Xenopus tropicalis: one gene and its partner. The main gene of each other region encodes a partner of the protein of the gene in region 2 in a complex. Links are inferred from orthologs where the notes say so. Each region holds a gene or a part of one and is shown on either strand. Other genes may lie near its edges. The genes, in order: ppfibp1 and ppfia1.

What was found.
Region 1: ppfia1 (region 2) and ppfibp1 share a complex: the UniProt entries of both Homo sapiens proteins name them as parts of the cortical microtubule stabilization complex. The link is inferred for Xenopus tropicalis from reciprocal best matches to the Homo sapiens genes PPFIA1 and PPFIBP1.

The regions. Positions count from the first base shown.
Region 1 is NC_030679.2:2,636,322-2,640,136, forward strand, and holds part of ppfibp1 (liprin-beta-1), read right to left. Parts: intron 2,977-3,815; coding exon 2,915-2,976; intron 2,651-2,914; coding exon 2,566-2,650; intron 2,457-2,565; coding exon 2,308-2,456; intron 1,595-2,307; coding exon 1,461-1,594; intron 273-1,460; coding exon 219-272; intron 32-218; coding exon 1-31. UniProt on the Homo sapiens protein: May regulate the disassembly of focal adhesions. Did not bind receptor-like tyrosine phosphatases type 2A.
Region 2 is NC_030680.2:14,517,928-14,521,742, forward strand, and holds part of ppfia1 (liprin-alpha-1), read left to right. Parts: intron 1-58; coding exon 59-160; intron 161-370; coding exon 371-592; intron 593-1,741; coding exon 1,742-1,888; intron 1,889-3,065; coding exon 3,066-3,200; intron 3,201-3,815. UniProt on the Homo sapiens protein: May regulate the disassembly of focal adhesions. May localize receptor-like tyrosine phosphatases type 2A at specific sites on the plasma membrane, possibly regulating their interaction with the extracellular environment and their association with substrates.

The DNA of each region.
Region 1 (3,815 bases), on a different chromosome or scaffold from region 2:
ATCCAAGCTGCTGGAGTTTGAGACTGGCGATCTGAACAAATGAAAATTAAAGGGGAACTAAACATAAAAAAAATACATTGAGACAGGAGAGTAAAGGGCAAGTAAACCCCAAAGTACAATGTCATGTATGCCCCCCCCGGTGGTCATACTGTCAGCAAAGATGGAGGAAGGGCTGTTTTGGTCGGGCACTATTGGGCGATACCCATTGGCAGACTTACCCCGGGGTCTGTGGGGGCGTGGCTTCGGCGGAAGGGCTGCTGGCCTGGCCGTCCCTGGGAAAAACAAAACAGAGGTGGAATTAATGCTCTCGGGAATGCAGGGGCCTCAGCGATTGGCCGATAGGAACTTTAAAGGCAACATTAAATGACTGTGTTTTTAGGGCTCTTTCACTGCCTTGGGGGAACAGTGCCCCCTAGTGGTAAAGTATGGAACCCCCACTGGCCCTAAAGAGTTCAGTGACTTGTGCAGGTGGATATGTTGGCCAGAGAAGGGTTAAAAAGTCCCAGGAGTCTCTGGATTAATTGACAGACTCTCCCACAACTACAACTCCCAGCATCCCCTGCCTGAATGCTATGCCCCTCCCCCTCCCATCACTTCTACTGGGGATCCCTTATCCTTAGTTTATAGCATCCCCAAAACTACAACTCCCAGCATCCCCTGCCTGAATGCTATGCCCCTCCCCCTCCCATCACTTCTACTGGGGATCCCTTATCCTTAGTTTATAGCATCCCCAAAACTACAACTCCCAGCATCCCCTGCCTGAATGCTATGCCCCTCCCCCTCCCATCACTTCTACTGGGGATCCCTTATCCTTAGTTTGGAGCATCCCCAAAACTACAACTCCCAGCATCCCCTGCCTGAATGCTATGCCCCTCCCCCTCCCATCACTTCTACTGGGGATCCCTTATCCTTAGTTTATAGCATCCCCAAAACTACAACTCCCAGCATCCCCTGCCTGAATGCTATGCACCCCCCCTCCCATCACTTCTACTGGGGATCCCTTATCCTTAGTTTGAAGCATCCCCAAAACTACAACTCCCAGCATCCCCTGCCTGAATGCTATGCACCTCCCCCTCCCATCACTTCTACTGGGGATCCCTTATCCTTAGTTTGAAGCATCCCCAAAACTACAACTCCCAGCATCCCCTGCCTGAATGCTATGCCCCTCCCCCTCCCATCACTTCTACTGGGGATCCCTTATCCTTAGTTTGTAGCATCCCCCAAAACTACAACTCCCAGCATCCCCTGCCTGAATGCTATGCACCTCCCCCTCCCATCACTTCTACTGGGGATCCCTTATCCTTAGTTTGAAGCATCCCCAAAACTACAACTCCCAGCATCCCCTGCCTGCCGTGGATCAGCACCATCATAAAATCCCAATGGTTCCCCCAGAATCAGAAAAGCAAGAAGATCACGGGGCGAGGGGCAGGGAAACCCCAGACACGGGGAGGGGCATTTACCCAACGTCAAGGGGAGAGGCGTCCATGTTGGGCGAAGGAGCTGACTCTTCATTCTGCCGCTGGAAGGGCCGGAGCGAGGAGAAGGAGGGGATGGAGACCTGCAGGATACTCGTGTGCAACTCCACCTTGGGCTGCTGGAAACAGAACCAGGGGCTCATTCAGCCTCTTATCCAATAGGATTGCTTTGCCTTCTACTTCTGACTCTTTGCAGCTTTCAAATGGGGGTCACTGACCCCGGCAACCAAACCCTATTGCTCTGTGAGGCTCCAGTTTTATTGTTACTTTTTATTCCTTATCTTTCTATACAGCCCCTCCCCTATCCATATTCCAGTCTTTCATCCAAACCACTCCCTGGTTACTAAGGTAACTTGGACCCTAGCAACCAAAAACATATTGCTCTGTGAGGCTCCAGTTTTATTGTTATTGTTACTTTTTATTCCTTATCTTTCTATTCAGCCCCTCCCCTATCCATATTCCTGTCTTTCATCCAAACCACTCCCTGGTTACTAAGGTAACTTGGATCCTAGCAACCAAAACCCTATTGCTCTGTGAGGCTCCAGTTTTATTGTTATTGTTACTTTTTATTCCTTATCTTTCTATTCAGCCCCTCCCCTATTCATATACCAGTCTCTCATTCCAACCACTCCCTGGTTGCTAAGGTAACTTGGACCCTAGCAACCAGATAGCTGCTGAAACTCCAAACTGCAGAGCTGTTGAACTGAAAATGAAATAACTAAAAAACTACAAATAATAAAAAATGAAGACCAATTGCAAATTGTCTCAGAATATTACTCTCTACATCATACTAAGAGTTAATTCAAAGGGGAACCCCCCCCCAGGTACTTACCTCCTGAGCCGCGGGGAGTTCCTCAGGGCTGGGGGTGGTCGATATGGGGAGAGGGGAGGGAGACTTGTCCGCGTCACTCAGCGCGATGCCATCGAACACCAGCGAATTGGAGCCGGATATCACCGAGTCGTCACTTTCCACGTCTTTGCCTGAAAGCAAAACCCCCAAACGTTGGAGCCCACAGACCCCCAATATCTTGTTTCCATAGAAAATGCTGGGATTAAAGGGGAAATTGACCAAAGGCCACGGAATATTTACCTTTTTTACCTTGCGCCATAACCACCATGTCCTGCACCTTCTTGTACCGGTTCAGAGACTGCCTGAGCTCCTCTATCTTCTGCTCCTGTGGGGGGACAGGTAAGGGGCAATAAGTGGGGGTGCCCTTTTGTATGTGGCCCCTCCCACCCAGGAGCAAATTCAGAGGGTTTTAAACCTATTAAAGAACTGGCTACTGGCTGCTGAAGGATGCTGGGAGTTGTAGTCCAACAACAGTTTGGACACTAGAGGGAGAGTTTATGAAGTGGGGTGAATTCTCATTGGCTGAGGGAGGGGACGGGGGGCACTATAGGGTAATGGTACTGCCCCCCGGGGGGGCCGCGCTACGCACCTTCTCCTCGTTGGCAGCCTGTAGCGACTCCATTGCCTTCTTCATCTTCTGCACCTCGACATCTGCAGGGAGGCAACAGGGTGTTTGTGGGTAGGGGAGGAGTCTGAGTAATGACGTACCCCCCCCCCCCCCCCCGAGAGCATTCATTACTGCCCACATACCCAATAATAACAGTGTGGGGGTGACACGCGGATCAGCCCCGTCTCACCAGGCAGTCTCCCTGATTCTGTGTCTATAGCAACGGACACCAGCCTGACCATGGGAAAGAGAGCAGCCCAGGAGCAGGAAGTACAGAGAATCAGAGCTCTGTACCTGGGTAAGTACTGGGGGGAGATTGGATTCACTTACCCAGGGGGGGGTTCCTGCCTGACCATGGGAAAGAGAGCAGCCCAGGAGCAGGAAGTACAGAGAATCAGAGCTCTGTACCTGGGTAAGTACTGGGGGGAGATTGGATTCACTTACCCAGGGGGGGTTCCTGCTGACCATGGGAAAGAGAGCAGCCCAGGAGCAGGAAGTACAGAGAATCAGAGCTCTGTACCTGGGTAAGTACTGGGGGGAGATTGGATTCACTTACCAGGGGGAGGGTTCCTGCCTGACCATGGGAAAGAGAGCAGCCCAGGAGCAGGAAGTACAGAGAATCAGAGCTCTGTACCTGGGTAAGTACTGGGGGGAGATTGGATTCACTTACCCAGGGGGGGTTCCTGCCTGACCATGGGAAAGAGAGCAGCCCAGGAGCAGGAAGTACAGAGAATCAGAGCTCTGTACCTGGGTAAGTACTGGGGGGAGATTGGATTCACTTACCCAGGGGGGGTTCCTGCCTGACCATGGGAAAGAGAGCAGCCCAGGAGCAGGAAGTACAGAGAATCAGAGCTCTGTACCTGGGTAAGTACTGGGGGGAGAT
Region 2 (3,815 bases):
GGATGGGAGTCCTTTAAATGCGTCAAACTGATTTTTGCCAAAATGTGTCTGTTTTCAGCTGATGATTTCAAGAGAGCAGAATAATCAGAAGAAAATATTCAATGACGGTACAGCCGATGTCAACCACGAGCAAGAGAACGCACTTAACGCTAACGGGAAGGTGAGATGGTTCAAACACGGCTGCTGGCAATGTTGGCATATGTAATGGTGCTTGTAAGTCCAGTTGTAGCTTTGGTATTGGTTTATGTCTCCAGTAAATATAGATATGGACAGTTTGGACCTGGATAACCTAATCCATCTCCCCTAAATATAACATTTTTGGATTAAAATGGATTACCGCTATTTATTATTTTTTTTTTTTTTATGACAGAGATCATCAGATTGCTCTATAAATCATAATGAGGACCTATCTAAAGTGATGGAGCTCCAGGATATCATAGAGAAACAAACCAAGGAGCAAGTTCAAATGAAGGAGCGCCTGGCTGTTCTTTCCAACCGGGTAACAGAGCTAGAAGAAGACCTCGATACTGCAAGGAAGGACCTCATCAAATCCGAAGAAATGAACTCAAAACTTCAACGGGACGTACGAGAGGTGAGAGGGAAAGTCAGTACAATTATTAAGAAAGAAACACTGCTTCTCCCTGTACTAGTTATACCCATCCCATTAGTTTAGAGAGCTCTGGGTCACTGGGGAGCTGCCCAGGGACATAGCAATGTATAGAATACTCAGAGGGGCTAGGGGTGCCACTGCATAAGGCCCTCACCTTTGGGGTGTTCTGGGTCCACATAGGGTTGCTGTGATCTTTGGTACGGAGGATGGCAAGCACAGGTTTGGGAGGCGGCGGCCCTAGTATAAATTTTGCACCCAGGCCTAATTTTGAGAGCAAACATTATCTCTGTTGGTTTGCTTTAAGATTTGATGTAGTGGGTAAAGCACTTTAAAAAAAAAAAATCCCTTTACATCTCTTCCTTAAAGGTGAAGGAAAGTAATTTTGGCATTTTACTGCCAATAGATTTGCCACATTAGTGCCACCTAGAACAATATATTTATGCTGCAGAAACCATTACCATACCTGAGTAAACGGCTTTAGAAGCTTTCTCCGTTTGCTTAAGATAGCAGATGCTAGATTCGGAAACAGCTCCGAATGGATGCTCGAATTATTGGGTTAAATTAGAGAAATACAGCTGGGAGGTGCTGGTAGGTTAATGTATGACAGCAGTGAGCTGCCTTTCTAATGAACTTAGTATGGTGTAGGCAGTAGCACAATTTTTATTTGGTTCTAAAACATTCAGGCTTCTAATTTTAAATGTTTGTTGCTAGGGCTTAATGGCCCTAGTTGCCATGGAGCACTTTGCAAGTAAGAACTGAAGATTTAAAGGCACATTGTTTACCCCTTTTTTGATTGCCAGGTAATACCAGAGTGCATGTTCAGTAGCAGAATGTAAAAAGGCTAGGAAGGTTAATACAAGTATGGGACTATTACCTAGAAACTCTACACAGCTCTGATATTCTCTTTGTATTTGTGAAACCCCAGGTTCCGAGTATAGCCCATACCTGCGCATGTGAAAACATACTTTTACTATATTAATTAATTTCATGTTAAGATAAACTCTACCTTTTTTTCCATGTTCCAGGTGCCTGGTTTATTTCATTATTTTGACCATTTGTAATCTAGCAGTATTGATACACAAACCTTTCCCCCCTGTATGAATTACTTACCAGCTGTAATGTTTTTTTCAGGCCATGGCCCAGAAGGATGACATGGAAGAGAGAATCACCACTCTTGAAAAACGCTACCTCGCCGCACAGCGTGAAGCCACCTCTGTGCACGACCTCAACGATAAACTTGAAAATGAAATCGCTAATAAGGAGTCTGCTCTGAGACAGGTAATGCTGCAGGCCAAGGCTGCTAACTGCTTGGGTCTGTTCATTTGGAAGGATTTGTTGCAAAACTAGTGTTTTCACTGAATTGCTTAGAATTTTATTTTCTTTCACTATGCAAAAGAGAAGGGGTGGAGATCATTTTTTAAAGGCCCAGTGTACCCCTTCTTCAACATGAGTTTAAAAAAAATCAAGTTTTTGTTTGCCCTGATCAGTTCAAGAAATAAAAGGAAAATTGAAGCTACTCCATGTTTGGTCTTGGTGCTCAGTCAGCACATAATGGACTCCTGCTATGAGGGTGAAGACACACAGAGAGAGCCTCTTAGTAGCAGCTACTTGTCATGGCTACTAAAACAGTCAGTGCTGATCATTTACTGATAATTGTCTCTGTGTGTTTTACCAGAAGCAGTTCTTAGTATTGTCTATGGCAGGGTCTTTTCTGGCGTGAAGTAGCTGCTCTAAGTAGCTCCGTGTCTTCAACCTTATTGTGAGTCTTGTTAGCAGGCGTCCATTATGTGCTCATTGAGCACCAAGATCAAACATGGAGTAGCATGGAGTAGGGCGAAGACATTAGGGATGCACCGAATCCAGGATTCGGTTTGGGATTTGGCCTTTTTCCGCAGGATTCCAAGCTCCTGGCCAAACCGAATCCGAATCCTAAAGATCACATAACTTTTTGTCACATAAACACAGAAGTTGCCAATTTTCAAAATCCCAAAAAAGTGCATTTGGTGCGTCCCTAGAAGATACATTAGTCACCACAGCTACGATTTAGCCGCCATAGACTAATGTACAAGTCGCCGCGACTAATTGCTATTTGTGGCACATCAATTAGTTGCTGCAAATTTTTTTTTTTTTTAAACGGTTTTAAAAAGTTGTGGTGACTAATCACCCCCTTGTGTCTTCGCCTTAGAAGGGAAGGGTAATCTAATTATCTACTTCTCAAGGACCACACATGGTGTAACTTCGGTGTCCCTGTTTGCCCTGTTTAGGTCAAGAAATAACAAAAAACATTTTTTTTTGTAATGAAAATTGGTAAAATGTAAAAGCATTTACTATACAATTTTATGCTATTTGTTTTACTTATGTTGAACAATGGGGTATACTGCCCCTTTTAAATTACCTTTTCCTGTTGGAAAAGAGAAGTGTCCCTAACAACCTCACTTTTTGTGCCCCAACTCAGAGTGAAGAGAAGAACCGGCAAATCCAGGAGCGGCTTGAGCTGGCGGAGCAGAAGCTGCAGCAGACTCTGAGGAAAGCAGAAACACTGCCCGAGGTAGAAGCAGAACTGGCACAGCGAGTGGCTGCTCTTTCAAAGGTAAATAGAGCGATCACATGCCAGGGCTGGGGTGGCTGCGCTACCTGCCAGCACGGCCTCCTTTCTGCCTGGTACGTAGTGACTTTTGTTTACTGCCCAGGTCTGAATATACTGTTTGTGGGTAATACACACGGGGCCTACGAGCATTTAGCACAATAATGAATGGGGGGTATTCCAAGCTTTTTGTTGCCCCTGCCAAGCTCGAAAAAGCTTAAGTGTCAGCTCCGACTCACCCCTTGTGCCAATATCCTTATTGTACGGCCTTTTTGTTCCCTATTCTCCTGTCTGAGCCATTGCTTTTTCTATTTTCTTTTGTCCTTTGCCTTTTAGCTCCTTTACCCCTTTTTCCCTTGACTTTCTTGTGTTTTGCTCCTATTTAGCTTTTCTGTACTCTCTTTCTTAATAATGTTTTCTGGGGCCGCCATCGGGGGTAGAGAGTGGGGTTACTGTTGCACCAGCCACAGTGTATCTTCTTTCAAATGGGGCCCGGCTGTGTCATGAAAGTTACAAATAAAGTTTCATCAACACATGCAGTTTATGTACCTACCTTCTGCAAAAACTGCCTGGAAACTTGCATATCAGTTATGCATAGACGCGTGACAAGGGCAGGCAGGG